Linked DNA regions of Saccharomyces cerevisiae S288C. The gene in region 2 interacts genetically with the main gene of each other region. Each region holds a gene or a part of one and is shown on either strand. Other genes may lie near its edges. The genes, in order: HPF1, RGI2, VRG4 and YER187W.

Evidence for each region.
Region 1: mutations in RGI2 (region 2) and HPF1 together harm fitness more than expected from each alone (negative genetic interaction), as found in Saccharomyces cerevisiae (one large-scale study listed by BioGRID).
Region 3: mutations in RGI2 (region 2) and VRG4 together harm fitness more than expected from each alone (negative genetic interaction), as found in Saccharomyces cerevisiae (one large-scale study listed by BioGRID).
Region 4: mutations in RGI2 (region 2) and YER187W together harm fitness more than expected from each alone (negative genetic interaction), as found in Saccharomyces cerevisiae (one large-scale study listed by BioGRID).

Annotation. Positions count from the first base shown.
Region 1 is NC_001147.6:25,347-35,097, forward strand, and holds HPF1 (mannoprotein), read right to left. Parts: upstream 6,261-9,751; coding exon 3,357-6,260; downstream 1-3,356. Other genes in the region: hexose transporter HXT11, read left to right, coding at 1-1,630; YOL155W-A (uncharacterized protein), read left to right, coding at 1,738-1,872; ZPS1 (Zps1p), read left to right, coding at 9,312-9,751. UniProt on the Saccharomyces cerevisiae protein: Involved in cell wall organization and biosynthesis.
Region 2 is NC_001141.2:245,459-252,883, forward strand, and holds RGI2 (Rgi2p), read right to left. Parts: upstream 2,939-7,425; coding exon 2,444-2,938; downstream 1-2,443. Other genes in the region: U1 snRNP complex subunit SNP1, read right to left, coding at 1-101; YIL060W (uncharacterized protein), read left to right, coding at 934-1,368; YIL059C (uncharacterized protein), read right to left, coding at 1,092-1,457; VHR1 (Vhr1p), read left to right, coding at 4,533-6,455; YIL055C (uncharacterized protein), read right to left, coding at 6,584-7,425. UniProt on the Saccharomyces cerevisiae protein: Involved in the control of energetic metabolism and significantly contribute to cell fitness, especially under respiratory growth conditions.
Region 3 is NC_001139.9:74,819-82,610, forward strand, and holds VRG4 (GDP-mannose transporter), read left to right. Parts: upstream 1-2,075; coding exon 2,076-3,089; downstream 3,090-7,792. Other genes in the region: SDT1 (nucleotidase), read right to left, coding at 3,197-4,039; Golgi transport complex subunit COG1, read right to left, coding at 4,294-5,547; EDC1 (Edc1p), read right to left, coding at 5,841-6,368; NIF3 (uncharacterized protein), read right to left, coding at 6,608-7,474; BOL2 (Bol2p), read left to right, coding at 7,556-7,792. UniProt on the Saccharomyces cerevisiae protein: Involved in the import of GDP-mannose from the cytoplasm into the Golgi lumen. Defective copy causes severe glycosylation defect and abnormal retention of soluble endoplasmic reticulum proteins. Involved in vanadate sensitivity.
Region 4 is NC_001137.3:561,854-569,227, reverse strand, and holds YER187W (uncharacterized protein), read right to left. Parts: upstream 2,999-7,374; coding exon 2,573-2,998; downstream 1-2,572. Other genes in the region: YER188W (uncharacterized protein), read right to left, coding at 469-1,188; YER186C (uncharacterized protein), read left to right, coding at 6,603-7,374.

The DNA.
Region 1 (9,751 bases), on a different chromosome or scaffold from region 2:
TCCCTCTGTTAAGACTGAACACGGTGACTCTAAAAATTCCCTTAACCTAGATGCCAATGAGCCACCTATTGACTTACCTCAAAAACCCCTCTCTGCGTATACCACCGTCGCAATCCTGTGTTTGATGATTGCATTTGGCGGCTTCATCTTTGGTTGGGATACCGGTACCATTTCTGGTTTTGTTAACCTTTCTGATTTCATCAGAAGGTTCGGTCAAAAAAATGACAAGGGAACCTACTACTTATCGAAAGTAAGAATGGGTTTGATCGTCTCAATATTCAACATTGGCTGCGCCATAGGCGGAATTGTCTTGTCAAAAGTCGGTGATATATATGGTCGTCGTATTGGATTGATTACAGTTACTGCCATTTACGTTGTAGGCATCCTAATCCAAATAACTTCCATAAACAAGTGGTACCAATACTTCATTGGAAGAATTATTTCTGGCCTAGGAGTGGGAGGCATTGCTGTCCTTTCCCCAATGTTGATATCTGAAGTTGCTCCCAAACATATCAGAGGAACTCTGGTCCAATTGTACCAGCTGATGGGTACGATGGGTATTTTTCTAGGATACTGTACCAATTACGGTACCAAGAACTATCACAACGCCACTCAATGGAGAGTCGGCCTTGGTCTTTGCTTTGCCTGGGCTACATTCATGGTTAGTGGAATGATGTTTGTACCAGAATCACCACGTTACCTGATTGAGGTTGGTAAAGATGAGGAAGCGAAACGTTCACTATCGAAATCCAACAAAGTCTCAGTTGACGATCCAGCCTTGCTAGTTGAATATGACACTATAAAGGCAGGAATTGAACTTGAAAAGCTGGCAGGTAACGCATCATGGTCTGAACTACTCTCCACTAAAACAAAGGTCTTTCAGCGTGTTCTCATGGGAGTGATGATCCAATCGCTGCAGCAATTAACCGGTGACAACTACTTCTTTTACTACGGTACCACCATCTTCAAATCTGTCGGTCTAAAGGACTCCTTTCAGACTTCGATCATTATCGGTGTGGTTAATTTTTTCTCTTCATTCATAGCGGTATACACCATTGAGAGGTTTGGACGCCGTACGTGTCTATTGTGGGGTGCTGCTTCTATGCTATGCTGCTTTGCTGTGTTTGCCTCCGTCGGTGTGACAAAGTTGTGGCCTCAAGGAAGCAGTCACCAAGACATTACTTCTCAGGGCGCCGGTAACTGTATGATTGTGTTTACTATGTTCTTCATTTTTTCGTTCGCCACCACTTGGGCAGGCGGCTGTTACGTTATTGTCTCAGAGACGTTTCCTCTTAGGGTCAAATCAAGAGGAATGGCAATCGCAACAGCTGCAAACTGGATGTGGGGTTTCCTGATTAGTTTCTTTACCCCATTCATTACCGGGGCAATCAACTTTTACTACGGTTACGTATTCTTAGGCTGTCTGGTTTTTGCATACTTTTATGTCTTTTTCTTTGTCCCAGAAACAAAAGGCCTGACACTGGAGGAGGTGAATACTATGTGGCTGGAAGGTGTGCCAGCATGGAAATCGGCCTCATGGGTGCCACCGGAGAGAAGAACCGCAGATTACGATGCTGATGCAATAGATCATGACAATAGACCAATTTACAAGAGGTTCTTTTCCAGCTGATCTTCTAGTTTTCGGTAAATTGGTAAAAAAGCAAAAAAAAAAATTGACGAAACTAATTCTCTATTATACATAATGTTTTTACTTTTGTACCCTTTAATTTCTAATGAATGTTTTATGGAAGCTTCAATAAATGCGTGACTGGCTATAGTTGTCGGATGGCAATCCATTATTATGTATACCGTATTATTAAGAGTGCAACTAGGCCCGACTATAAATCTAACACTCAGATCCTTGTACTGTAATGCATATTTATTTTTTCACAAGTTGCATGCTAATAATACCATGATATTTTTTGAAGCCTTGAAAAATAGTTCAAGCAGCTACGATATCATGAATCAATATACTCATTGCAGCCTATGTAATATATATAGGTTCCGTGTTACCACTCGTTTCTGATATTTTCGATATGGCTACACTGGGTTTTTCATGATGGAAATGTGATACTACCAGTTCCAATATATTTATCTTCCTTATCTATATGACACGCTGTTATTTTAGTTCAAGTCAGTGTCCAATTGGGGTGAGTGTCACGTGCACAACGACGGTAGTCGTTGGATGTGCTAAATGATGTTCTACTGCCAATGACTGCAAATACGTTCGAAGAGTATAAAATCGAAGGAAACGAATTAAGTTGCCAATCCTTACTGTAACTATAGCATGTTACATATATGTACCATAAGTATCACATTAAGGTTTCGCCATAGCCATGTGCCTATATTAAATAGAAATATCACATGGCGATCCACGGAATGTTTATAGATTTTCTTCTTTTGTCTATGGCCCGGGCGAGACATTAATTTATCTTGCTGAAAAATTCGAAAGTTAAAACTCAATTATGCGTGGGATTTCTCAATTAGGTTACCAGAATTTCAATCTGCTGAAGAATTATGTCTTAAAAAAAAAAGTCCCGCCTCAAAAAAGCCAAAAAGGGTGTGACTGTAGATTGTGGGTTACTTGCTGTCAAATGACATGAAAATCTCTGCCTGCATGATCCCTGTCAAAATTCGAAAACACGCGGTCATAAAATTGTGCCTCAAAAAGATATCTTTTCCTGCGGGTTCTCTTAGTAAATGAGGTTAGGTTGTTTCCTATTCTTACGAGATTTCCCTTGTTCTCGCCGCTCACATCATTGTCGGTAAGATCTTCCGTAGTGGCAGGTCAAGCAGTGAGGAAGAAAGATCGGCAGTAAACTGATAAGAGCCAAACCGAAAAGTTTCTTATACGCAAAAACGCTTTGAAAATTCTCCAAGAATCCTATTTGAAACTCTTATTAATAAATAAAGTATAAATATAATAAAGTTTATTGTGAGACATGTCGCGATAAGCACCCCTTGTCTTTCTTGGAAGGGAGAAATTTGTAATATAAAGCCAAGTGTTCAGAACTCGATTTTTTTCTGACCAAAGAGCGGAAGCTCCACTATAAAAGTTGGGAGGTACTTTTAGGTTCTCTTAAGTTCGCATTTAATTATGGCCTGAACGATTTTACTGTGGACAATAAGTGAAATAAGTGTCCTTAAAATGTGTACGATGTGTACACATCAACCTAGTCTCCCCTTCATTGGCAGAAGAGGGAACCATTTCATCCAAAAAGAATAAAAAAAATAAAAAAAATCCAAATATTAAGCTAAAAAAATACTTAACTGTTTACACAAAGCGTATATAAAACGCATATTAAGAACCTATCTCGTTTCAGAGGAATAAACTTTTAATTCCTCAGTTAAAAAAATTAGTTAAAGAAAGCAAGAACGAAAATACCGACCAATGCATTCAAAGTATTGGCATTCAAACCTGCGGCAATACCCTCGGACTGGACAATGATACCAGTAGAGGTCTTTATTGGAGCTGCAGATTTGGAGTATGTGGAAATTGCACTAGAAGCCTTGGAAATGGCAGTAGTCAATGAGGTTGCTTTAGAACCCTCAGAAGTGACAGTAGTGTATGACTTTGGAGAAGCACTAGTTGCGGTGACGGTTGAAGTAGCTTCAGGTATTTGAGAGGTGATTATCTTGACGTTACAACCATTGTCATCACATTGAGTAACAGTGGCAGTAGTGTATGTCTTAGGGGCAGCACTGGTTTCTGAAGTTTCTGAAGTTTCTTTAGGAGCTTCAGAAGTGACAGTCTTGGTGCTACATCCATTGTCATCGCACTGAGTAACAGTAGCGGTAGTGTATGTCTTTGGAGAAACAGTAGTGGTTGTGGCTTCAGGGGCCTCAGAGGTGACAGTCTTAGTGTTACAGCCGTTGTCGTCACAGTGAGTAACGGTAACAGTAGTGTATGATTTTGGAGAAGTAGTAGTTGCTGAAGTTTCTTCAGGACATTCAGAAGTGACAGTCTTGGTGTTACAGCCATTGTTGTCACAGTGGGTGACGGTAACAGTGGTGTATGATTTGGAAGAAACGGTTTCAGTGGCGACGGTACCGGTAGACGTAGTTACATGACATCCGGTCTCATCGCAAGAAGTGATAGTGGCGGTGGTAGATGAACATGGTACGGTTGTGGTAATGGTATAGACGTTACCGTTCGAATCAGTTGTTTCTGAACAGGAGACAACTACTGTGCTTGTGGTTGTTGCATATGTTAATGTTGTGGTATAAACAGATGGGGAGCCGGAAATCAAGGTGGAAGCCGTTGAACCAGTCACGGAAGCACCGAATGAAGTGGAAGCGGTTGAACCAGTTACGGAAGCACCGAATGAAGTGGAACCGGAAGTAGAGTTGGTAGCCCCTGATGTGGTAGATGTGGATGAGGGTGTAGCGCTGGAAGCAACAACACCTCCGTAATTTAGATAATAAGCATAGGCACCAGCAAATGTTCCTTCGGAGACGTTGAAGCCAGAACTGGAGAACCCAGTACCAATAGAGAAGGAGAATTGTGAGTTGCCTTGTGTTGCAGTTAAAACACCAGTAGCACTGTCGTAAGAAAGAGCAGTGACATCTGCTGTAATGGCGATTTGGTTTTCACCAGTGTATCCAACCACAGGGATAGGAGTAGTGTTGGTTTCGGTTGGGTCAACGGCAAGAACACCTTCACCCTTGAATACAACAGTTTGGCCAGTAAAGGTGTCTGGATAGTGCAAGTAAAGGTTGCCAGAGATGATGTTGATTGTACCACTTCCAGAAACTGGTTCGACAACGACGTAGGTACTGCCATTCTCAAGATTTATCTCACCGTTGTTGACAGAACCTGATTCAGCTCTACGCTGCAAACCAGAGACGGAACCACCATTGAGAATAGCATTTGAGAAAGAGAAAGCACCAGAGTTAGAGTAGGGAGAGAATGTGACTTCGCCCTTTGTGGACTCTGATAGACTCAAAGAAATATCACCACTGTTATCGAAAGAGCCTGGAGTGAAGGAGTAGGCAGATGCGGAAGAAGCAGCAGGCTCTTCAGCGTTAAAGGTACCAGATACATCAAAGTTTTCACCAGAAATGTCGAATTCGGTACCTGGGTAAGTTGGCTTAGACTTTTCTACGAAAACGCCACCATGGATTATGAAATCAGCAGAGAAAACGTATTTGTCACCATCAAGTAGGGTCAACTTACCACCTGCAGCGACTTCGACAGCTTCAGTTGCAATGACTGAACCGGTGAGTGTGATGTCACCACTGATGGTTGTAGAAGGCAAATAAATAGTACCATCGCTGGAAGAAAGAGAGTTGGAAGCAGTTGCAGTTGCACTAGAAGCCGAAGAGGTAATAGAACTTAAGGTACCGGAGGTGATAGAACCAGAGGCAGTGGAAGCCGATGAGGTTGATTGAGGAATTGAACTCGAGATACCTGGAGCAGAAGAAGCTGATGAACCGGAAACGGAGGAACCAGATTGTGTAACAGAACCGGACGTGCTGGAGGCTGATGAACCGGAAGCGGTACCAGATTGTGTGATAGATGATTCAGATGCTGATGAGGATGAGCCTGATTCTGTGACAGAACCGGATGAGCTAGGAACCGAAGAAGCGGAGCCTGATTCTGTGGCAGAAGATGAACCGGAGACTGATGAGCCTGATTCTGTGGCAGAAGATGAACCGGAGACTGATGAGCCTGATTCTGTGGCAGAAGATGAACCGGAGGCGGATGAGCCTGATTCAGTGGCAGAAGATGAACCGGAGGCGGATGAGCCTGATTCAGTGGCAGAAGTTGAACCGGAGACTGATGAGCCCGATTCAGTGGCGGAGGATGAGCCTGATGTAATGGAAGTAGATGAACCGGAGACTGATGAGCCCGATTCAGTGGCGGAGGATGAACCGGAGGCGGATGAGCCTGATTCAGTGGCAGAAGATGAACTGGAGACTGATGAGCCTGATGAAGTAATAGAAGATGAGCCGGAGACTGAAGAGCCTGATGAAGTAATAGAGCTCGAGACTTCAGAGGACGAGGTTGATGGAGCAATGGAGCTCGAGACTTCGGTGGAGGATGACGTTAACTCAGTGAGAGAGCTCGAGACATCAGAAGTAGATGAGGTCAACTCAATAGAACTACTGATGGAAACGGAACCTGATGAAGTTGACGAAACGGCGGTGGAGCTGTTACTAGCGATTGAGGAACTGTTGGTATAATATTGGCCCAATGCACTTTGGGAGTAAAGGACCAAAGCCAAAGCGGCTTGAAGTTTATTAAAGCGATTGAACATCTCTTTGACAGGCGAGATCTTACCAAAAAGAATCAACGATGGGTATTTGTTGTTACTGACTTGAGAACCAGAAAAGGCATAAACCTAAGATAATGGGATGGCAGAACCGATACTAATGAGATGAATATGAAGCTTTTTATATGCTTTTTGCAAGTGTGAGCGGACTCCGAATACGCAACTGCGTAGATTAACCGCTGGGCTAGCTTAAATCTCCTACGGGCACTTCTGCGGAAGCATCCGCAAGTTCTGTGCGCGCGCGTTCCTTGCAACGAACGGGGGGGCATTTTAATGAGTAAACAAAGATATTCCGCTGCTAATAACAACAAGAGACCCCCTAAGCAGTCTGCAAAACCGTGCAGGACGTGGTCTAAGCTACTTTGATAAGATAGTCACAGGAACCTTTTTGGAAAATTAAACTATTACCGAAAAAAGCCACAACACAGGGCCTAGCACCAAGCATTTTCACCCAATTCGTCATGAAAAGTCATTATTACCTTATTTCCAATTGGAGAGTTAGCCAGGAATCTCCGCTCAGAATGAACTAGCAGTATAAAGAAAAATATACGACTTGGATAAAGAGGAATGCTTTAGTAAGCTACACCTCACTTTTCGATGAAAAGGAGTTAGTGGTTGCCTTCCGTGAGCGCGAGATATTTATTTTTATGTTCCTAAGGCGCGTGTCTACCTCGTATTTCTGCAACGCGAGCACGGTTTTCTGTTGAGGAGTGGCTGGTAAAGGCCCTTTAAAAATACCACGCCATTTTAGTAGGCCCTACTAACTAATTCATAGCAAAATTCAGAACTTATCCATTAGAAATAAATTGCGGTGCCTACGAAAAGAACGTTCCCTTGGCAAAATTAAAGAAAAATTAAACGTGATCGGTCTATCGAGCAGGCCATTGAAGCATATGTACAAGCACGGTTTGAGTGCTTAGAATTGAACAGTTATTACAGTTCTTAACACTGTTTCTCTAAAAGTGCAAAAAAGGCACGGTCACATAGACTAATCTTGCAGCGGTTCCAAGGCTTATTTGTTGAGTTGGGTTAGTGGAACGAAGTAGCAGTCAATTCCAACGTAGATCGGTATATACGTTCAAGCCCCCCTGAAAGTTGCCGAGGCCAAATGGAGAAAATAAGTTGTTCCCCTCTTTTTATTAAGAATTAAAGTGTTCTATTTTAGATTGATTTCCTACCATTGGTTTCAACTTCTCTCTCTGATTCAGTTAAGCGACGGTGTTTTTAATTCAGATTTGATTGTCCGTCTCCATTTTTTGGTAAGATAAGTGTGAGCAAGTTTGAGGGGTTACTACTGACTCAGAAACCGTACTGCTATGTAGTACTTGCCTTCGTCCTACCTAGTAACTATTATTTCTACCTAGGAAACATTTTAGGGTATGATCTACCCCATTGCGGGGTGCCTTTTTCTTACGTTAGCGAGTACTCGAATGAGGGTGAAATGGCATCGTCATTGATTGCCGAGGACAGACTCCCCAACATTGAGGTGTTTATGGTTGGCCTTACTGATAAACCATAAAAATACGGTCCGATATGTGTAGTGGTTCCGTTATATTTTTGGCATGGTAAGCATGTATAGGTATATGCTACATTCAATTATCTGGAAAGGCGGTTTTTTAAGCTCATTTTCTTTTTTGAGCTTATTCTTGAAGATAATGCTATCACACGTGCATAATAAAATAGTAGCTTTTTCTTGTAACTGCGCTCTTTTTTAGCCGCATTCCAATTTAGCCTTAAATCGTGAACGTGGAGATGATTATTTCATCTCAACTAACTTGTATAACCTTATTTGCGTAGTCTTCGCGGGGTAATTTTTGATGGTGTAAACTTTTACCATAGAAATACGATACTCTACATGTAGTTTTGTCTATTTAGTGAAATCCGACAAACTGCGACGGCTAGCAAGTTCTTGCTTGTTTCTCACTAACAGCTTATTCTTTCAAGGAAAGGTGTATAATTAGTTCGACAAAATTCAGTCCGATTCCAAAAATATGGTTGCTGAATCGAGAATCAACTATTGTTAATTGACTAGCAGTCTTCTTGCTAGTATATATGACATACTGGTGCAAATATGGCATAACATCAAGAGGCAGTCATCATATCTAAAGGATACAGAAATGGAAGGATTGATAATGTAACAAGGTAATGAACGACAATATGTAAAATGAATGAAAGCCTCAATAATATCATACAGACAAAAATCGATTCCCTTTTGTGAATTTTTTTTTTTGTATCCTCCAGGAGAAATTCATACCTAATGAGAACAGTGGAATCCCAACACAATTATCTAATTTTTTCATCTATTTCTCATAGATAAAATGAAATTTCAATAATTGACCAATATTCACCTGGCCCATAATCAATCGCTGTAATAAAATCTCCAAAAAGGGTAAAACTAAACAACTTTTAAAATGTGAAAAATTAAGTAAAGAAAAAGATAAGAATAAAGTCCAACAAGAGTCAACTGCTTGAAATTTTCAGCTGAAGTGGAAAAGAGGTGCTGATCATTGAGTGCCAAACGGAAGTTTGTTGCTGCCGCAATGTCAATGAAGCATTAAGCTCTGACGTTTTGCCGTTTCTTTTTGGGCAGTATGCGATCAATTTATGCTAGCCAAAAGAAAAAAATCGTATGCGCGCTGAATCAGCCGTAGCTAGCTGTCGACAATGACATGGCGGAAGCGCTGTTTTTAAAGGCTTCTTATAATTGACCTTCAGGGTTAGGACCCTGAAGGTTTTTTGTAGCCATACTGCTTACAAGAATGTAACCTCTTTGGAGGAAAAAGAAATTATACTTTCTTTTCCAGATCACGAATCTGTTGAAGTACTGTTCTTTTCCGTGGCTTGAACCCTCTACAAGAGATCTATAGACGCCGCACATGCTTTCAAATAGAGCTACATTCTGGTCCTTCAATATATCAATTAGAAACGTATAAAAACAAGACAAAATTACTGTCATTGGGGGAGAACAACCCATCTAGGAATTGGGATTGAGCAATTAAGATAGAAAACCAAATCCACACACAACTACTAAACATTATGAAGTTCTCTTCCGGCAAATCTATCATCTTTGCAACTATTGCTTCTCTAGCTTTGAGTGCTCCTGTCACTTACGACACCAACTCTACTGCTGAGTTACAATCTCCTTCATCTCAAGAAATTCTGGGTTGGAGTCACGCAACTTTTCCTACCATTTACCAAACCTGTAATGAGACGAACGCAAGAATGTTGAATGCAGCTTTTAAGGATACCGCTGAAATCACCGCTTATGGTAAAGATAGACTTTTGAACTATGGTGTCGATGACGTTTACTACAAAAGATGGTTTGGTAATGGTAGTATTTTCACCGTCATGGGTGTCTTTGAGCAATTGATGGAGGCTTCCAAGGGTGCCATGCTCATGAGATGTGATGATATTGATGGCTTGTGTGCAGCTAATCCAAACTATTACGCTGGTCATCACCGTCAATCTGCTCCAGC
Region 2 (7,425 bases):
TTCGCATATGGGTAATCGGTTGGTCTTTTGTAAGATAAAGGTGGCCTTGGCTTGAAAAGTCTCGACACGTCGTCTGGATACTTGGATAGATTATAATTCATCAAGGTTGAGGTGCCGATTACTTTTTTAAGGTTTCCTTTCGACAGTCGATGACCGTGCTGTGTGTCATTATCTTGCAGTTCTTTTTTTCTTCAGATGCGTTAATTTCCTACGAAGGGCGCATACAATGGTGCTGATGGGATTTATGAGCAAAACAAGTAGGCGAGCAAGACATGAACGAAATTGTAATGAAGCGTACTTCCTTTTCCCTACAACCTTAAAAAGGTCTCACTGATATATCCATTCGCAATAATGACAAGATTTTTGCATGGGACTTCTTTTTTTCTTTTGAATAAGTCGCGTTATAAGGACAAAACATTAAAAAAAAATATGTATTGATTCACTGATTTATATATACAGAAGTAAGTACCGGGGTACCTAAATATACGCATAAAAGTCTCTTTCTTTTTTTTTTTTTTTTTTTTAGCTTCCTACATTTCGTTAATAATATTATATAGATTATATTTATATTTAAGAAAAGTAATATCAGCATATTATGAATAGACAAAAAAGTCTAAGGTCAAGATTTATTAAATGTTAGATTATTAAGATTACAATTAACAACATTTGTTGTTACTTCATAAAATTTCGTTACTTCATAAAAGAACTACAGTCCCCCACTTCTAAATGAGTGGTTGTAGGGGTTCATATACCTCCCATACTGTTGGAATAAAAATCAACTATCATCTACTAACTAGTATTTACGTTACTAGTATATTATCATATACGGTGTTAGAAGATGACGCAAATGATGAGAAATAGTCATCTAAATTAGTGGAAGCTGAAACGCAAGGATTGATAATGTAATAGGATCAATGAATATTAACATATAAAATGATGATAATAATATTTATAGAATTGTGTAGAATTGCAGATTCCCTTTTATGGATTCCTAAATCCTCGAGGAGAACTTCTAGTACATTCTACATACCTAATATTATTGCCTTATTAAAAATGGAATCCCAACAATTATCTCAAAATTCACCAACTCTTCACATACATACCTGCGGTAGCAAGATAGGTACACTTTTTCTACGTTTCACGAAGGTAGCGATAGGTACCTCACTCATTGTAGGTGCGGGGGTAGCGATGGAGGTTTCTGTACCATTACCACCACAGCCACTATACTCACGTAGTGAAGTCCCTAGCGTGGAATTGTGTGGTATCGTTGCTATCTGTCGTTCGCCACCCTCGGTATATCCAACGTGCAGGCCAATATCACTCTCTAAGAAAATCGTATCAGGATTGGTACGGACAAACTCTTCATAGCCTACGTCGAAATCAAATTCTGCTAAAGCTGTGACTGTAGTTAAACCTAAAACCGCGATTATTGCTTGAAAAACTGTGGAGAAATTCATGATGGACGGTCACGTTCAGGGTCTGAGAAAACCACTCATTCCTATGTCCCATGTGGTTGGTTGCAATTTGCTGCTATATATACGACTTGGCTGTAGAGAGATCTACGTAGGATGTGTCCACTATCAAGGGGGGTTTACCAACGTTATCTTCTATTTTAAGTGCTCAAATGAAGGTTGCATTATATCCCTGGCAGTTTTCCCGGCAATTTTGCCGGCCGCTTATAATAGTCATGGTGAAAGGATTGTTGCTTGTTGTGGTTGCAACATGACAGTTGCCTACTAACTAAATAATAATCAAAGTCAGTTTCTCAACAATGGAAAACCTGTTGTGACCTTATCGAAGTAACAACATCGTATAATAATTAATCTGGAAAAAATACCATAGTTACTGCCGATACAGGTCTACGTGACTTACTGACAAACAGACTGAGTGACTACGAGTCCAGAAATTTAGTATACCATATTGTCGCTTCTTCTTATAGCCCAGCTCCAGGTCTGGATACGGTTCTGTATAACTCGTTAAGGTTTAAGTGTCCGGCAATTTTTTTGAAGTTTCATTTCTTCACTCGATGACCAAGCCGTGTGCCATCTTTTCGTTTTCTTTTTTTTCAATGTGTTTAATTATCTACAAAGAGGGCACACACAATAGAGCTGATGAGAACCCATGAGCGAAACAAGTAGAAAAGCAAGACGTAAACGGAATCATGGTGGTGTGTACATTTCTCTTTTTTTATTACACCAAGAAAGCTTAATTGGTACGTATTGTTCGTGATAGTAGCATGAATCTAGCGTGGAATTCTTTTATTTAAGGTCGCGTTGTGACGACAAAACATTAAAAAAACCACATGTGTTGATTTGTAGACTTGTATACACTCCAGTAAGAAGGTGCACACCAAAATACATGCGCATATAAATTATTTTATATAGCATGCTATATTTCGTAAATTCATAAAATTTCGTTAATTCATAAAAACAGCTCCCCAAACTTAGATGAGTGGCTGCAAGGGTTCTGTCTTGTAATCAACATCTACCATTGCGCCATCGTGTTTACATACAACTTCGACAGACACCTTGAATTTCTTGGCGTTCAACTCCGTTTCTTCGCCATAATTCCAAACAATCCGGTCAAAGGATTCCTGCTTTTTCTTATCGTGGAATTTCAATTCTGGCTTGTTGATAGCGGTTTTGATGTCCTTTAGCAGGTGCTTCTCAACATGCTGGTGTAAATGGCGAACAAACTTCTTAGAGTGCGAATTGGCAGTCTCTTTGATCTTTTCCGGATCATCATGCGCATCATGCAGGACAAAGGGTGGATAGTACTTCAGTTGGCAATGGACATGGTCGAACTCTTGATCTTCCGTCTCACCCTTTAAATATGTTTCAAAATCATGCAAATCCTCAAAAACCTTTAAGGACTCACCACTTTTTGTAGTGATGGTGGACATCTTAGGACCCTTTGCTTTCTTATCCTTTTTCGTCATTCTTATTATTTAAAATACTTTGTTATATACTGTACGTTGTTTCGTTTGCACTTAATCGTGTTTCGACAGATAGGTGAATCAAGATCTACCTTTACGCGAAAGATACGAAGAATTGAGAAGGAGGTGCAAGGGAAAAGGGCAATAGAGGATTGGGACAGCCGATGCTTATATACGGACGATTGCCAACCGCCGAAAAGGTTCAAGCCAAGAACAAAAAGTAGAGAGAATACCCCAACAATAGCATTTGATGGCTAAACGGCAGTGCCCGTTAATACTATTCAAATTATACCCCGCATTAATAATTCCTGTCCCTTTAGTCTCGTCCTTCAGCCGTATAGCCGCAAAACTTCGTTCAATGATTTCATGCCATCATTACACCGCGAGTCGTGGGTGCATTGTAGTTTATTACGAAAAGTATCTACAATACTTGCTTAAATAACCTACATTGTTTTAGGCACTATGGCCGAGTGGTTAAGGCGACAGACTTGAAATCTGTTGGGCTCTGCCCGCGCTGGTTCAAATCCTGCTGGTGTCGTTATTTTTTTATTTTTATTTTTTTTTTATCGCTTACTGATTATCAGATATCTTCGACAGCCTCACACAGATTGGTGATCACGCACCCATAATCATTTCTTCGGGCATGCTCCTATTAGCCACGGTTCGCAGAATAATCTGCGCGATGTTATTCACCAAGACCGTGGAGTCTCCTTTTCGGTGGGATCCGCTTATATCCGTATGCGTCGGTTGCTTTCTCGGGGAAAGGAAAAGGAGAAAGCCCGGATAACACGACACAAGAGTCATTCGTTATGCACGGACACAGGGAATCGTGCGGAGCCGGGGATAAGAGGCCGTGCTAATTTCCGCGGAACATCGGAATGCAGTGGACAAGTGCCCTGAGAACAAGCGGCGGGCGGGTAGCTGCCACGGAATAGGCGCCACGTTTCCGTGGGTGACTATGACTTTTGATCGATTCCATGTTGTTTTGCCCTGAATTCTGCGCCCCTCGGAGAAGTTTCTTTTCTTTTTTATCTCTTTTTCATCTCTGACCTTCGTTTCCTTTCATATAGACTACGCAGCAGAATCATGGCAGGAGCTATTAGCTGAGTGGGCAGATTACGTTTGCGCACTGTGCATTGTGACAGATTATATTTGCTTCGCTTCTCCCTCTTACTTCTTCAGCATAAGTGTAAGCCATATGTTCCCTGAAATCTTTCTACCGTCGTCTTCTCTTTTTTTTTTTTTTACTATAAATCAATGTGCTCTCTTCCATGATTCTTGCCTTTTGGATCTTCGGTACTTGTGTGGGTGAGAATGGTGTTATTGAGTCAATTCAGGTCAGCTTGGTTCAGTTCTAATCTAGCCCTTTCCCTACTATACAAATACTACTAGCCTTTTTTTTTCTCTCTCTTTCTCTATACCACTACCTCTTCCTCTTCCTTTTTTTTCTCTTCTTTTTCTATTGTCCCCATCGCATCTTAGCATAAACGCATCCGCATTCCCTTCCTACATTTTTCTTTTCTACTAGTTATAGCTTTAAAACCTTCTTTATTCTCTTTCTACCTATTCTTCTTCGTTGCTTATATCCTATACACATATGAACGGTCCTCCAACATTCACTCAATATAGAATAAATAAGTTTTCTGGGAATGGAGCAACTCATAAGATTAGAGAATTACTCAATTTTAATGATGAAAAGAAATGGAAACAGTTTTCGAGCAGAAGGCTGGAGCTGATAGACAAATTCCAACTAAGTCAATATAAGGCAAGCGAACAAGATCAAAACATAAAGCAGATTGCTACAATATTAAGAACGGAGTTTGGATACCCTGTAAGCTGCTCTAAGGAATTCGAAAAGTTAGTCACTGCTGCTGTGCAATCAGTGAGAAGGAATAGAAAACGATCAAAAAAACGCTACGCTCTCAGCATAGCCAATGGCAGTGGCGGCAATGTCAACAACAGCATCTCGTCAAATTCTACTTCTGACGACGAGATCTCTCCGTCGATCTACCAGCGCTCCAATTCGGACTTCCTGCCTAGTTCTAATTATGCTGCAGATTTCCAGTTTTCAAACAAGTTCCAGCCTCTCATGAGTCACCAGAGTCATAACGGAACCATTTTTCCAACCGTGGGCACCCAAAATGACTCATCTCCATCGGTTACTTCGACCCAACAAAAGTATAACGATATAGTCACCATGCTAGTGCACGATCTTGTTACGAATGTCGTACCCCTATCAGAACAAGCTCTCAAGGACCCATATACTGGGCCAAACCTGTCACATTTTGCTACGTCTTCACTCAGCCAGCAACCTAACATTACCACAAACATCCCGATAGATTCTACCGTGCCATTTTTCCTGAGGGAAAAGTTACTCCTACAAATCCAAAGATCAAGAACTTGTCAGGACATTTCGCAGGCTGCAGGATCCATTGATATATACGCAAATCTGGAGATTTTGGGTGAAATGTCAATCCGAATGTCTATTGCATTCGTTATCGAACGATTTTTCTCCAACTTGGTCTCTTCTTCAATGAAGTATATCACTGCCAAGACGTGCTCTCCTGAAAATCTGGCTTTGTTGTCTCAAAGACTGTTCGGTGCCGCTACAAGACATAACTTATCTCATTTCCCCGCGGCTCAGGTACAACTAAGGCTACTGTATTTGGTCATAGGTGGTATTGTCAAGGATTTTGGCTTCGACCCCACGCTTTACCCTTTAAGTGAAATCATACATCATATTGTGATGGTTCAGTATCCTTTGGCTAGTTCCTGTGCGTCAGAACCACCATCATCTTCACCTAACAAGAGGGTTAAGAGAAGCCCTCCTGTCGTTTCAAGTGACGTTATGTTGAATAATAATAACACTCTATCGAATAGAGCTACACTTTTAACTACGCTACCAATGAAGCCTCAATCGGCCAATAAAGATGTTAATCGCAGAGTGATCATTAGATTTAATGATCGCGAGCAAGCCTTTACTTTCCACCAGTTGAGCAATGGACCACCCACGGTGTCTGAAGTTTTGGAAAACTGTAAAAATTTATTTAATATTATCAACAAGAACAAGAATTTTGGTATTTTCCATAACGATAACCTCTTGAACGATGAAAGTTTGGCAAAGTTATTTGATTCCTTTTCCACGAGCGAGATTCATCTCGTAATTAAGGACATTTCCACCATTCCACTACAAGATGCAAAAATACCAGTGCCCATTACGTTGCCCAAAATGTCATGCATAGGTGAAAACCCCTCTATGCCTTCTATTCCATTGGTACCACAAGAAAAAGATGATCCAAAAAAATCAAGCTTAACTGCCTTTGATAACATCCTTAATAGGATCTCTAAATCGCCAATGAATGAAGAAAATAGCAACACTACTTTAAACACTGGCACCTCCACCTCCAACACAAATAATAATGACCACAACGAGTCTGTGCCAGCGCCATACGTTACAAAGAACAAAAATTCTTTTCAAAATGGCAATTTACCACAGCCGGTTTTCCAGCCTTTACTTTGATAAAAATACAAAACAAAATTGTCTACATACATAACTGCCTAATACACATTCTACACAATATTTTTTTCTTTTTCAATTCGCGTACATATTTATGTAAGATAAAATAATAATATCCTCTTAATCCATGCTTAGAACTGCTGCCGTTGATTTTCAAATTCATCCTCGTCAAATGGTGGCAGTTCCATTACATGAATTTTGTACCCCAGTGAATATTCCTGGTCTTGTAAGGATTCGAACGTCAAATCAGACAGCTCTTTATCGTGGAACCCAACAATGGCATTATACACAATTGTGCTAACTTTAAAGTATTTCGCCTTGCTATCACCTTCGGAGTCAGAGACGTTTCCACTTTGTGCAAAAGTAGTTGGCAAATTTCTATTAAACTCCTCTAATTCATCTTCCGGTAATTCAAACCTCAGTAGAGTTGCTTCTTCATGATCTTCATAAACCCCTACATAGAATTCCCTTGTATTATTGATAGATGTTCGAGGTCCGCCATTTGTGTATGTGCTATTATTTGCACTCCCGTTGGTGTTCTCATTTTCTGATATCTTTAGAGCGTCCATAGATTCATTGAGTAAAGATGCTTCGTTTTGTTGCTGTAGAAACTGTCTTTCCTGTAGTCTTAATAGCTTGGGGCATTTCAGTTTTATAAAATCTTTTAGAACTGTCCATCTTAGCCTTCCAAATTTTTCCAATTGTCCTTTCTCTTTAATTTCAATAACTGTGAACTTCTCTTGGTTCATTAACTCATTGAAATCAGACTCTGATAATTTCTCCAAGAATTCTATAGGTATATAGGGTGGGAAATTTATGATCTTCAGCTGCCACATACCTCTATTCGTCATTTGTTTTCTAAAGCTTTTCTCGTTAAAGATATGCTTTAATCTTTTGTGATTTATTTGAGTTTGTGAAGGTGTAATTGTTCCACCATTCTTTGCTTGGAGGGCACGGTCATCACCATTCGTAC
Region 3 (7,792 bases), on a different chromosome or scaffold from region 2:
CTCTACTTTTTTTTCGAGCAGTAATTACCATTTTAGGTTTGATTACAATCACAGCTTCAGCAGAATTTGATTTCGACGTAGGCTATGAAGAGTTTGTCCGTATCAACCCTGATAAGACCTTCTTAGAAAGTGAGATTGGCCTTTACGTTGGTTGGACCGAGGGTAGTCAACGGCAGATAACAACGATACCACATAATTCCACGTTGGCGGCATCACTACAAGAGTAGAATGGTTGTGGTGGTAATGGCACAGAAACCTCCATCGCTACGTCCACACTTACGATGAGTGGTATACCTATCGCTACGATAATGAAGCACAGAAAAAGTGTACTTATCATATTACCGCAACTATGTACGTGAGGTGTAAATTATGGCTCTCATAGGACATAAGTAGGACAGAAATTGAAATTTTTGTGTTGGCAGAGCGAAAGAAACTTGAATTCGTTTATGAGGAATAAATTCTCAGCTCCATCCATGGTTCCAGTTGACGCTATGATACGCAAATTCCTTTGTGATACAGGTATCATTTCTGCAATTCCTCGTAGATTGTTGATCATACCATAAGATTGATGCTGGGGAAAGTGGAGAAGCTAACTTAACGATTGAGGCCTTGGCAAACCCTGTTAAACCAGTACTATCGGCCTTAACATGCGACTTAGAGAGAGAGAGAGAGAGAGATGTTTGCGTTTGCGTCATGATAGAGATGCTACATCCACATAGTTGTTGTAGACATGTTTAAAGGTACAATTCTGCAACAACGCCTTGAAATTTTCCAAAACTAACCAAGCACATTGGAGTTACGCTTATATAGTAAGCCACTTCACTTGCGTTGCTGTAAAGGTTGATAACTACAGGTAGGAATTAATGAATGTTAAATAAAAAAGGGAAATACCATCATCTCGACAAGAAAGGCAAAATAACTTTTCAATCTCACCAAGACGCGCGAACGAAACTCGTGCGTCTATATTAGTATCTTGACGGCGCTTTTACATCATTAAAGGTGTAATAAAACTGAAGTCATGCGATGGCACTGAAATAATCAAAGTAACTATTTGTGATGGCATGCACTGTGATATGATCTCAAGGAAAAAAATGCAATGTCGGGCGCCAATACTTATGATCATGCTTAGTCTCGACATTGACCTTGCTTGCTACAGTAATCTGGTGTCCGAGTAGTGACATCTAGGTACCGGTGAGAACTATATCTTCATTACTACACTTGTCGCCCCTGAATATTATCGCTACACACGCGAAAGAGCTCTTGTTAAAGTTACTCTCGCATCATTGCGGTACATGTTTTGCATATTCATCTGAAGTAGGAAAGGGTATAAGCAGTATATGATGTACCATCTGCATAAGCGGTGTTTAATGCGTACCTATCGTTTAAGAACAAAAGGAACACACCCACACCCGCTCCAATACCATATTGAGAGAATAATGAGGTAACATATGCTTCTATTTGGTTCGATAAGACGGCTACTAGTCCAAAAAAAGTCAAACAACAATTTCAACAGCTACATTCTGAAGATAGAACGCATTTTTGCCTGAATATTGCAACTCAATAGACATTCTAAAGTGCTACGAGAAAAAAGCTTGTAATGGACCATGGCAATGTGCGCCATATATATATGCGGCTCCCTTATGAGTAGAAGAAAATATATGACTGGTGGTACAAAGTGGCATGGTGGTATATAGATGTAGGAACACCATTTGAGTTTGCCATAATGATTAAATTTCCCTTTTTATAAAGAATTAGCCGCCCATAACACGAAAAATATCACAGTTGACGAAAGAAGACACGTCGCCTAAACGCGTAATGAATCGCAATATACGAAAAGCTAAACGGGTTTTTCAGAATCCTCTTACCCAGCCTTGGATAATAGTTTTGGCCGAAAAAAAAAAAAAGAAAGAAAAAAATTGAAATTTCGCGATCCGAACAAACAATGAACAGAAAAACAGAATATATATAACGCTGCCAAGCCTATTTCTTGTTGCCGATTAATTGTTGACATCCTCTTAATTACCAAAAGAGCCTAAGAAAACAAACACACTAACCACACAGTATCTTTCGCCCGAATGTCTGAATTGAAAACAGGTCATGCAGGCCATAACCCTTGGGCTTCAGTTGCCAATTCCGGTCCGATCTCTATTTTATCCTACTGTGGTTCCTCTATTTTAATGACGGTGACTAACAAGTTCGTCGTCAATTTGAAGGATTTCAACATGAACTTTGTCATGCTTTTCGTGCAATCTTTGGTTTGTACTATAACCTTGATTATCCTACGTATACTGGGCTATGCGAAGTTCCGTTCATTAAACAAAACAGACGCCAAGAACTGGTTCCCTATTTCCTTTTTACTGGTCTTGATGATCTACACCTCTTCGAAGGCTTTACAATACTTGGCTGTTCCAATTTACACCATTTTCAAGAATTTGACTATTATCTTGATTGCTTATGGTGAGGTTCTCTTTTTTGGTGGCTCTGTCACCTCCATGGAATTGTCATCATTTTTGTTGATGGTCCTTTCTTCTGTCGTTGCAACTTGGGGTGACCAGCAAGCTGTGGCTGCCAAGGCTGCTTCATTGGCTGAAGGAGCAGCCGGTGCTGTTGCCTCCTTTAACCCAGGTTATTTCTGGATGTTCACCAACTGTATCACTTCTGCATTATTCGTTCTTATAATGAGAAAGAGAATTAAGTTAACTAACTTCAAGGATTTCGACACTATGTTTTACAACAATGTTTTGGCTCTACCTATTCTATTGCTGTTTTCTTTCTGTGTGGAAGATTGGTCTTCAGTTAATTTGACCAATAACTTTTCTAACGATTCGCTAACTGCTATGATCATCAGTGGTGTTGCATCCGTCGGTATTTCTTACTGTTCCGGTTGGTGTGTTCGTGTTACTTCGTCTACTACATATTCGATGGTAGGGGCTTTGAACAAGCTGCCAATTGCCTTGTCTGGTTTGATTTTCTTTGATGCTCCAAGAAACTTCTTATCTATTCTCTCCATTTTTATTGGTTTCCTATCAGGTATTATTTATGCTGTTGCCAAACAAAAGAAGCAACAAGCCCAACCTTTACGTAAATGAGAACTTACGGGGGGTGCAATTTATTTTTTTTTTTTGGTTTATTTTATTTTATAGAGGCATCTAATGCAAGTAGATTTATATACAATTATACTTAAAATTGATATACCTTAGAACAGGTCGGACACAACGTGTGGTAACTCCAATATATCACTAATGACAATAGCGCCTTCTGGTGTTTGCCCCAAAATTTCATTTACTTCATTCTCAACTAAATGAATACATGTTTTCATGCCCAATTTGATACCTGTCTCGATGTTTTTCCCACTGTCATCTATAAAATAAGCATTCTCGTATCTTGCCAACCCGCTTTCCTTCATGGCTTTTTCAAATGCTTTAACATGTGGTTTGCAGACCAGCGTATCTGTCCTAGAGTAGTCACAATATGTCAATCCATCAAATAAATCCGCTATACCCAACAATCTCAGGCAACGTATTGCGTGGTTTTTATAAGCGTTGGTGAAAAGCCACAATTTATCAATCTTTCCCGATTGTCTCAATCTCAACAGCATATTCCTTAATGGTATATCAGGTTTCAAGATATCTTGTAGTGGTAAGGAATCATCCACAAGCCGGTTATATTCCAGTGCGTTCACTTTGTGGAACATTACAAGTCCCCTTATGGCAAGTCCATACTCTTTGTAGTAAGAGTTATTCAAAACGTGAGCATCTTCAGGTGATAGTTTCAAGTGTGTTTGAAAGAACCTCAGTATAGATTGTTGCATAAGATCGTGAATTCTCGTGGATGATTTATAGAGACAGTTGTCGATATCAAAAAAGAAAACTTTTAAGTTCGGGTTTTGAGGTGTAGCAGAAATATCTTGATCGATCGGAAATGTCACTTTCGAACCTGGATGAGTCAATGATTCAAGATGTGCTTTATTCTTGGCAATTTGTTCGTTCACCTCATTCTGATAGGTTGCCAAATCGGATGCAGTATATTCAACAGTCATGAAGCCTAGTAATGATTCGGTCCAAGAGCTTACTCATGTATTCCGAAATTAATTCAGGTGAAATGGGGGAGTAATATGATATCAAGAAGGCGATCACTTATTGAAGTCCACATAGATACACACAGATAAACATATATATATTATGTATATATATATATATATATATATATATATATATATGTATATATCAACGCCCATACCATTATCATTATCAATAAGTTTGCGAGGCGGGTACCCTCCCTCGTGCTATTATATTACTGTTGCCTTAATTGAGTAATTTGATCGATGACTAATTGCAAGAGATTGTGATTGTTGTACGAAGTTATAAAATCATCCACAACACTCGTTGAGTTTTCCAGTGGTGAAGGTAAGCGGGATGAGATCTGAGTCTTAAACTCTTGCAATTGAGTAATCAATTTATTTCTCAAATCTGTCAGTGTCTCTTGAGGGCATTTATACAATTCTAAGTTTTGTAGGATTTCAATCGTAGGCTGCACCGTTTGATAAATTTGCAACGTGGTATCATTGGTTAAACCTTTTGAATAGAATACCGCTGTATCAATATATTGTTTCAATGCATCATCATCAAGTGGAGATACAGTGCCATCATTGAGGTTCGTATCATTATCATGGAAGATATCTAATTTATGAAGAGTTTCAGGCTCCTTAAGCTTGGCTCTCAAAGTAGAGAGTGTATCCAAATGTGTGTTTATTTCTTTCACGGTTCTCCGAATGAGATGGTCTCTAAAGGTGGACGAATTCACAAAATCGACAACAATCGCGTCCTTATATTGCTGATTGGAGTGATATTGATGATCTTTGCTGTTGGCACTTGATATCAGTAACGCTTGAACGTTATCGTTAAATAGTGTCTCGAATAGGGATTCATTGAATATAGAAAGTAAATCATCGTCCCACTTCGAGGAAAACTCCGTGTTTAGTAAATTGTATAGTTTTACCCACTGTAGTAAAGTTAAGTTTAATGTCTTCATAGAGTCCACCAAGAACTTCTGTAGTCGACAACATTTGTCCTTGACAAGCGCTTCAAATTTGGAAGGAACTGGTATCAAAGATAATTCGTGGAAATTCAACAGTAGCTCGTCGAATATCCGCGACGGAGTAGTGGAAGTAACTATACGATTACAGAAGTTGTTGATGGAGATGGTCCAATTTGAAATTACTAAAATGTTTTGCGATGGTATGCTGACTTTTTCTTCGTCACGAGGTGGTGATATATGGGTAGTGGTTTGGTATGGTAGTGGAGTTAACTTATTCAACTGAAATTTTTCATCATTGAAACACAGGGATTTAAAATCTTGATCAACATTTTTCAAATTGAGCGACAAGTCATTAACAGAATCGGTCAAGCTTAAGATCTTGTTATAGTTCTTTAGCAAATTCTTTTGGAAGGCCTCATTGGTTTTAGTCAAATCGTTCTGTAACTCCAATTGATAATCTTTAATCTGTGGAATATGAGAATCGCGAAACAATGGTAAGACTTCATCCATTTTCTATCGTATTGGTTTTTTTTAGGTTTTCTACCACAAGATTTGTTGTACGAATGTGTTATTTATTATTCACCGCCATGTTTCATTTTTCTTCAGCATAATGATGAACTGTAACAGAAAATAGGAAAAAAAAATTGTCATCTGAGAAATTGCTTTGGATGACCAGATCCAAAACAGACATAAGCATTCGTATAATTGGTACATAGGTATATATCAAATAAAAATATGCATTATTCTAAAAAAAAAAAAAAAAAAAAAAAAAAAAAAATCAAAAATGTCTCTCTAAAGGGTGATTATAAAAAACTTGGTTTGGGCAAGTTTTTAGCCTCCCTTGGACCATTAGTGGCGAAAGTGGAGCCTGCATAAGAGTGACTGAGTTTTTTGGCACTGCCATTACAACCCATTGGTATTATCCCTTGAGAGCCATGCGGGGATTGTTTCTGGTTCAGAAGCAGATTCTTTAGGTTCTGACTCAGTAAACGAGTATCATCTTTGTTGTTCTGTCGTGGCGTTTCTTTATTATTCTGTCTGTTTTTTTTACCTAAAGTAGTTGTAGAGGAAGGGGAAGAAGGTGGAGAGTGCTTCTTTTGATTAAATGATGGTTTCTTGTTGGAAGAATGGCCGAAGTTAGGTTTCTGACCGTTAGGAAGAGTTTGAGGAGGTGGTATATCTGTGATATAGTTGTTATTATTGGCGTTCTTAGCAGCATTTCCCCTCGCACGATTATTTCTAGTTTTTTGTTTGATTAGATTATTTGTCTTGTTCCTGCCAGCCGATGGCAACAGCCTGGAGCTGTTGAAATACATGGTATCCGTCGACATGCCTTGTAATATTTGTGTGAGTATATTTGTGTGCTAAGTGTAATTACGTTACGCTTTGCTGAGTACTTCGTCTTCAATACAGAGTATGTTATTGTCCTTGTTATTTGAAGACTTTTACCTTTTCTATCCGTATTTCTCTATCCGATACAACAACATCATTTTACACGAACAGCCGGATGATAAAACTGTAGTACGTATGGTATTTGTGATATCCTATATAGCCATATAATTACTAGCAGCTATGCAACAGTCAAAGGATCGCAATCCATTTTGCTTACGACTACTTCGTGGCCCTCATCTTGCAACAAGCCCTTCATAACGTCTTGAAGGAATCCACGCTCAGTATTTGAGTGGTTGCAAACAATAACGGTCTTGCCCATTTCTTTCCACTTCAGTACTTCATGATGTGACATTTCTCCCGTATAGTAAAGGTCTACGTCCTCTTTTAGTTGCTTAAACACGCCAGAACCGCTCCCGGCACAGACAGCGACTTTTTTGATTTTGAGTTGATTCCATGCGGATGGAGCAGCAAGAGATGCTACTTGTACATAGGGAACCCGTAAAACACGCTTGACATTTTTGACAATTTGCTCCAAAGAGATGTCTTTATTGAATTCTACGAATCTACCGTAGCCAATCAAGTCGTCAGTTTCGCCACTTACAGTTTCCAAGGCATAAGACTTTGCGACGTTCTCTCCGTTGTTCAAACCCCTAACCAACCAGTCATTTACACCGCCACGAGCGGCATCTACGGCAGTGTGAGGGCAGTATACGGATATTCCGTACTGGATTAGCTTTATAGCTGTCTCGTGTTGTGGGTTTGTATGTGGGCTTAATCTGTTCCAGCTTGGGAAAATAAAAGGATGGTAAGCAACAATTACGTTGCAGTTAGCATCCACAGCTTCTTGAGCAACTGACTTCGTGAGGTCTACAGTCAAAAGGACCTTTGTTTTAGCGTTTGCATCGGCAGTGGTGACTTGTGCAGTGGAACAATCGATGAGAAGACCCGTATTGTCCCAGCTCTTGTCTGCGTACTTTTGAGGGTAGAACTTGGTAATGCTACGCACAAGTTTGTCCAATTGTGCTCTAGTAATAGCTCTGCTCATTGCGTTTCGGTGGACTCTTGTTCTGTTTCCTTCCGACTGTGTATTGGAATAAGTTTTTCGGTGTTATATATATACATATATATGACAGGTGAAAGAATTGAAAAGGTGAAAATAAATGACGAATTTGCAAAATCACATTTCCTAACAACTCAGTGGAGAGAAACAAAGCGCCAACGACACTATAAGATGCCCGTTACTGAACAGGGACTCCGCGAGAGGATAGAATCAGCCATACCGCAAGTTTACCATATCATTGTGACGGATCTTTCGTACGGTTGTGGTCAGTCGTTTGATATTGTGGTGGTCAGCGACTTCTTT
Region 4 (7,374 bases), on a different chromosome or scaffold from region 2:
AGCTATGTAAGCTGAACTGTATGTCTTCTCACGTGGCCAGTCGAAAAAGAAGGGCTCTTAAAAGCTCACCGCGTCAGAAGATGAAAAGTGGCCAAGAAGTACTTCAATACGTCGAATCTATTTGTCGTTTGTTCATCCTCGTTAACGTCAACAAGCACATACTCACACGGGTGCTCCATTATACTTTCACTCCCATAATGTAATTTTGACGTAGTGAATTACGATCTAGCTTATATGTCATAATGTGGTAAGTTTACTGGACATTTATATATGTAATACAAATATAAGATATATAGGGTTCTACTTTTGTGCATAGAAACTAGGGTTTCTTAAGTAATAGTGGGTTAGAGGTTTATCACTATATGTTCTCCTTGTGTATTACCGACACAAAAAAGAAGCATCACTTGTACCATGCTTTTGGGTTATCACATTCGACAAGAACCTAACGTATGTCCAGAATCCTATTCGTTACGGATTCCATCCGGATTCTGGTTGCATCCAAGAATATGGGTTGACATTCCAGCATAGCATCTGGCCTGGCCTTATCTTGAAATGGTGATCATGACCTTTTGAACAATTGTGATGCGGCCAAATCCTGATCCAGACCGCCCCGCCGCAGCATCCATAGTTATAAGACCTGACCGACTTGGCGTACTGAGTGGAGCCTATATTTTGACATGACGTTGCTGCAGTTTGTTCGTCGTAAAAACCCTCACCTGCGCAGTCCTTTTGGTCAAAACCAGTCACTCCAAGTGCATCTGAACGTCTTCCCATGACAAACTCACCTGGATAGTATGGTCTGTAGAGCCTAACATCCATGTCATGCCGTTCAAATTCTGAGGGTTCTTCCATAGCGTGATAATAGCCGTTATCATCGGGCCCAAAACCGTATTCATTGTAAAATGACGCGATCGTAACCTGTACGTTAGTATTGACGTCAGTGCAGTTAAAATAATCACTAGTTACATCCTCAAAGTCAATTGTTGCATTCGCCATCGGTGAAATTGTTATGAATCCATTACTAGCCAAATCGACTACAATGTTTCTGTGTTCTGGTGCGAGACAGGCAAGGTAATCTGATTTGAACTGATCAAATTCCATTTGTTCTGTTACGTTGTAAGCACAAGCTAGTCCTAAAGTGGTAAAAAAGTATGACCACGTTAACTTTCCTAGGTAGGTAGGCATCATTATTGTTACTTTTTTTATGATATTGAGTAGCGATACTGTATTCCAAAAGTGTCATTATATATAGTCTCTGTAAATAAGTATCAAACTCAACAAATAATTGTGAATAAGGATATTCTCTGGCAGTCAGCACAACGTATACTGACCACCCCCCTTACCATAATATAGCAACACGCTAAACCATGCTTCCCAGGCAACGTACGCTCTGCTGCTTTTTTTTTAGCAGGGCCCTATTTGGGAATGTGTCGTGAGATGTCTGCAGACGTGCTTTCAAAAGGCCGCTTTCCTGCGCGCTTTCTTACTTAATAATACTGCTTCTCGTACCTGATAAGCCGGATCGGCTAAACGCGCTTCTTGTGGATCCTGGTTCCATCCCTACTTATTTCTATCTTAGTTTTCTCATCAACTGCACATAATTGGCGACAGGATATAGTTCTCTTTAAAACATACGAACGAAATTACCAGCGATCTTCAGTGGGAAAAATGAGCCTCCAGAGCCACCCCATCATTAATATGAAAAAAATACCAGAACTGAAAATGAACAAGAATTTAGATTTTTTATTGACTGAACGCCTTTAATCTCAAAATACAGTACTGCCAAAGGACATCGTTAAAAGTTTTTGTGGCAAAAAAAAGTCTGATTGATTCTGTTGAGATTGTTTAGTGGTACTCTTTGAATGCAGTAGCATAAGTAAGTATATCACTCTCAAGTAGTGCGTCTATCGCAATAAATAGGATGATAATTGAATCTTGTTCCAACACTTACAATCATCTATCTGTATCTAGTATACTCTATGTATGTAATGCATTGAGAAATAATGCAATCTTGAAGGGCAATCACATATTTTTTAGAGTCATTAGTTGGTGTAGTCGAATTCTAATTATAGAATTTAATTCAATAATAAAGATAACGCTATATCACTTGACAAGAACTTAGCATGTAACCAGATGAGTTATATTTGATAATACTTATTATTATTTTTCTGAGCTATGTCTGAACTATTAGCTTCCATAAAACCAATCAGCGCGTATGTGGTGTGGTGTGTGTTTTGTACCTTAGTTTTGTTTTTTTTATAAATGTATTCGAGTTATTGTTGAATGTGGTAACCCAAAAGCATGATATGAGTAATGTTTTAGTATTGTTTCAGAGTTGTTTCAGTAATGCTTGAGACAAGGAAAACATATAGTAGCAAACCTCTAATCCGGTAGTACTTAAGAAACTATAGTTTCTATGTACAAAAGCAGTAACTATGTAATTATTACATTTACATAACATATAGAAGGGTCCAATAAACTTACTACATTATGACATATAAACTAGATCGTAATTCACTACGTCAACAGTTCTTAATTTCGGGTCAGTCAATTCAGCGACAGGCGTAAAGCTTTATCGACCATCTCCAGTGTTCTGAGCACCGATATGCTCGTCATTACAATAATTATCTATACCACCGTAAGTGTTAAAATATATCTCAGACTTGAATGCCGAACCCGTGCCTGCACCGTCACCAGGTATGTCATCGTAATCAAGTGGCTCACCGTTTTTCGTGTCCTCAGCAGCAAAGCAGTATTTCCAATCCCTATTACCTGAAAAGAAATTCTGTAACTTCTCTTCAGCATAAGAATCAAAATTTCCTGCTCCACCTTCGTCATTCTGCCAGTTCTGTGCCAGGTCACCATAACTCTGACTATATGTCATTGATATCCATGAGGTGGCGAACTCTTGACTGCGTCTCTGTAACGATAGGGCCGAAGCGTTGCCACTTATATCAGGTACCCCTGGTACCGCTGCCACGATTTGATCGATGAGCATGCTCACATTATGTACGCTACTCGTGCTGATGTGGGTTCCATGCTCCGTAGTATACCCCACAAAGTTGATCTCAGCAGCACCGTCACGTTTAATAGTGTCATGTACTGCATACCCACTAAACTCTATTGTAACAAAATTACTACCAGTACCATTAGACAATGTTTGCCCATTGAGCACATGATCAGTGAGTGTTATAGTATGATTCAGTACATTAATAGTCTCACTTAACCCTCGCTTTGTTGCTGAGCCAGAACTCTTTCCCACTAAAACTGCTGCAACTATAACTGCTGAAGTTGCTAAAACAGCACCAGCTATAGGTGAACATATTCCGCTAGTGGATGCGATACAGGTTGCTGCGACCCAGTAAGGAGTAGCATAAGCGGCTGCAGCAATTAAAAATCCTCCTAGTCCTAATCCAGTCGCAAATGATCACCTAGCTCGCCGTACTAGAGCAGCAGTGTTGGCGCGGTCAGGTATAGCTCCAGTTCTAAGTGTGCTTAAAAATAATGAGTACGCTACCAAAAGCAGTGCAAAAATTATTGCAAACAATCTAACGATTCTAAACGTCCTTGTTGTCAAGTAATTTGGAGGGCTGCTATTCATGTCGTCTGTGTATGATCTATTCATTTTTTCATATATTTTTTTCTATTCTACATACATTATTTGGGATTACGATACAGTGTTCCAGAATTGTCACTTTATATAGATTTGTTACAATGCATGACACTTGCCAAAATAATCAAGCCCAATACCTAAAATTTGCAAGCGCGCCTTCAAAGAATGGCTCCCCGCTGATTTTTAAGAAATACTACTTTTATAAAAAATATCTCAAAACACCTTAGTTTTTTCCTATACACTTCTTCTATTGTTTAAAGGCCCTGACATTCTTGGTCTCCAGGCCGCTCAATATGCTTCGCACCACGGTAAAAGGCGGCTGCACATGTGGTAAGTCAACAAGGACTCTTTTCACTAATTAGCATGGTGTGCTATCACATGTCATCAAGCTTTCCATGAAATAAACCATTGATTGTAAGAGAACCACCCAACAAATCAAATCAAGATGCCAATCAAAGTTACAGACTGCGTCCTTTTTCCGCCAATTGATCTAAAACAAAATCTAAAGTCAGTAAACATAGAATTTCTGTCATTTTGCGTTTTTTCGACAAATACGCGCACTACCCTGAAATTATTATCATGAAGATTACTATATTTATATTTAAAGGTTAACCTCGAGTTCTATAATATTATGTCATACAAGCTCATTATGTTAGAAAGCGAGTTATGGAGGTTCAAGTTCAGATGCCTTGGTTTGGTTTACTAACTAATATTTGAAATTCTTGCTAAATATTTTCAGTACTCCAAAATCTGAATATTTCAGAATTTCATATCCAGACCCATTCTATGAGCCAAAGTAAACCCCGTGTACTTTCAAAAGCAATGCTACTCTTCCCAAAATAATATAATATATATATATAACTGATACATATAACGTGTTGGAGTCGTATAGTGTTACAGTCCATGATTATACTCACCTCCCAGTGTATTCGTTAATAGAACTACGTAATTGTAAGCCGCTGAAAAATAGCTGGTGTTGAAACAACGAAGACCTCACCTCGATGATACCAAAATTATTAAGAATAAATATAATGAAACTTGTTTGAAAAAGAGCGGGAGCTCTGCTAGATGGAAGAGTTGCGTACAATACTTTTTTTTGAAGATGAGAAAACACTGGCTAAGGTAAAGCAGGTTTCCTGTAAAAGCTGCTAAACCGTCTTTCACGGTTTTGTAATCAAAAAGGCTTCTTACTATCCTTTCCCAGAACGAAATCATACGCATATTTGCCCACATTGTTAAGAGTTTGAATCATTAAAGCAACAATATACTACTAGACCTCTATCTTCTTCAAACCAATAGGTTCTGCTGTCGTAAAAGCATTCTTTTATCAATAACTGTAAAATGTCGTTATGAAAGCCCTTCGTTAGTCTCTTTGCAACCTCCAGCAAACTTGCTGAACTTTCTTTTTCAATGGTGTGTGATCTCTATATCTTGTGAGGCTTGCTATGTTTTAGTAGAAACCATTTGGTTTTTATTATCGAAGCAGTGTATGAGCACAGTGAGAGCTTTATATTGTGACAAGAATTGCGTTTACCTTAAAATTTCGAAGTACATTTCCTTGTATTGTCTAGGTTATGCTGGTTAGTTAATGGGGCGGGAAGTGGTTTAGTAAGGTAGAGGTCCCGTTGGTTATTTTTGTGGAGTTAGGAAGGTTCAATAATGTCAGACATCCGTTAAATAATTACATCTATACAATTCTTAAAAAGAAAAGAAGCGCTTTGGGCAAATTTTGAAAACAGAAAATCGCACACTTCTAAGTTCAGTCCCTTTTAACATTCATTCAAAGCTATTTTCTAGCAATTGTTTGTTCTTATATCTTACACCTTACATGCCCGCAAAGGGATGATCTTACTTTCGACAGGTAGATGTTATATCAAGATATAGATGATCTTTGAAGTCAAAATGATGGCACAGTAATCACTCATTTAGCTATTTCTGTAGTTAGTTTGTATAATGAAACGATATTAAAGACAGGGATCACATACAAGTTAAAAATTTTGTATAATCAAAGAAATAAAATATCTTCCCTTTACTCTTCTTTGCATTATCCGCCATTACACTATCAGACACTGCAGAGCAATAAATCAAGTAAAAGAAAATTTTTTTAGTATAATTCAGCTTCAAGTGAAGTGACTTCGAAATTGAAACTCCATTACTGTCTAATATAAAATTTGATGGAAATCGAAGTTAAAAAATCATCGGAGAATATAATCTAGCTAAACCAACAATATTTTTATTGTACAAATCTTCGTTTTACGTACCGCACCTGACCAAGTGGTTCGCAAATTTGCGAGTAATTTTACGTCTGTATGTTAAGGCTTGTCGGGATCTACCCCTCTTCTTGTGTTCCTCCTAAATTTCTATTAATTATATAAAGATTGGCATATGACAACGAGAGAAAATTTTATACAGAACAAGGTTACAGGTAAATTGTAACACATATTTGTTACAATAAGAGTAAAAAAAGTCTTTCCGCAACACGCTATACCTGATGGATGTTTTACTCGAATTAATAAAGTTATATAATTCAAATGGTGAGTCTCTTCTGTTTTAGCTAATTATGCACCTATTTTCTACGACTTTAAAAGTTTAAAAGATCCAAGTCGAGTTCTGCCTGAATTTGAAACTAATAACAAGCCTTTATTAGGTTTTGGGAAGGGTTTCTTGATTGCATTATACGTCTTAGAAGAGGATGAGGCCCAAGGTTTTGATTTTCTTGGAACGCGCAACCATCATCAGAAATAAAATAAAATTATTGGTTGACCTTTTTTACCTAAAGGAAAGTCTGAAAATGCTGTTGCAACAACGGCAGCGCCCTGCTTTAAGCAAGGCACGTGGTCCACCAAGAAAATAACTAAGAGGATGAATTCTCCTATTTTAAGCCAGGAAACTAGTCAGTAACATACGCCAAGGAAATGAAAGCATAGGATGCGGGCTGATTACCGAAGTCAAAGGTTCTAGTATATGATCGAGTTCTGTAAACAGTATCATGCTGTGGCATCCTGATGGTTACGAGCCTCGAGTAAAGGCTATAGAAGAAGAAATCTACGCTAACGAAGACAGGAAGGATGTTCCGGATAAGTTTAAATTTGATACTGTAACGAAAACTGGAATGGTCAAGCTTCGTGTTTTCAAAGACGATCTAATATTCAAATCACAACGATCTATAAATCTGTTTGCAAGTAGGAAGCATCCCTTCAAGTCATTTACGGCGGATGGAGAGGGCTTGCCGTTATTTGCCTTCCGCACTAAGAAGCCTTTTTTTGTTAGGCGAGATTATGTGGGTTTTCTTTTTTATCAATACGAGATATTGAAAAATGGGGACTTCCCTGAAGAGTCGGATTATGAGGTAAAAGGAGAGTGCGACGGTTTCACTCTGTTTAAAGTTCTTTTTTGCACTGTTAAGGTGAAGAAAACAAGCTATTATCGCAATAAGGAGAGAATATCCCACATACTAGAGCTCAACTTCGGAAAAAAGGAAGATTTTAGGATATTGACACTGGTTAGATGCTCTGAAATTAGATCAGTATATGTTGTAGAGGATAAAAAGGTTATTATGAAATGGGTTTTCACCTCAGAGAGTAAATTTAATTTGAATTCCTCACTGTTCATCATAAAGGCCGCAATTGGCTGTTTACCAGAGGTGGGTGATAGCATAGAGGACATACCTAAATTTGATTGGGACTCCTGCCCTACTATTGGATGTATGTGCAGAACTAAGGAGGCTCTTTTTCAACCTGAGTCTCGAAAAGATATGCATA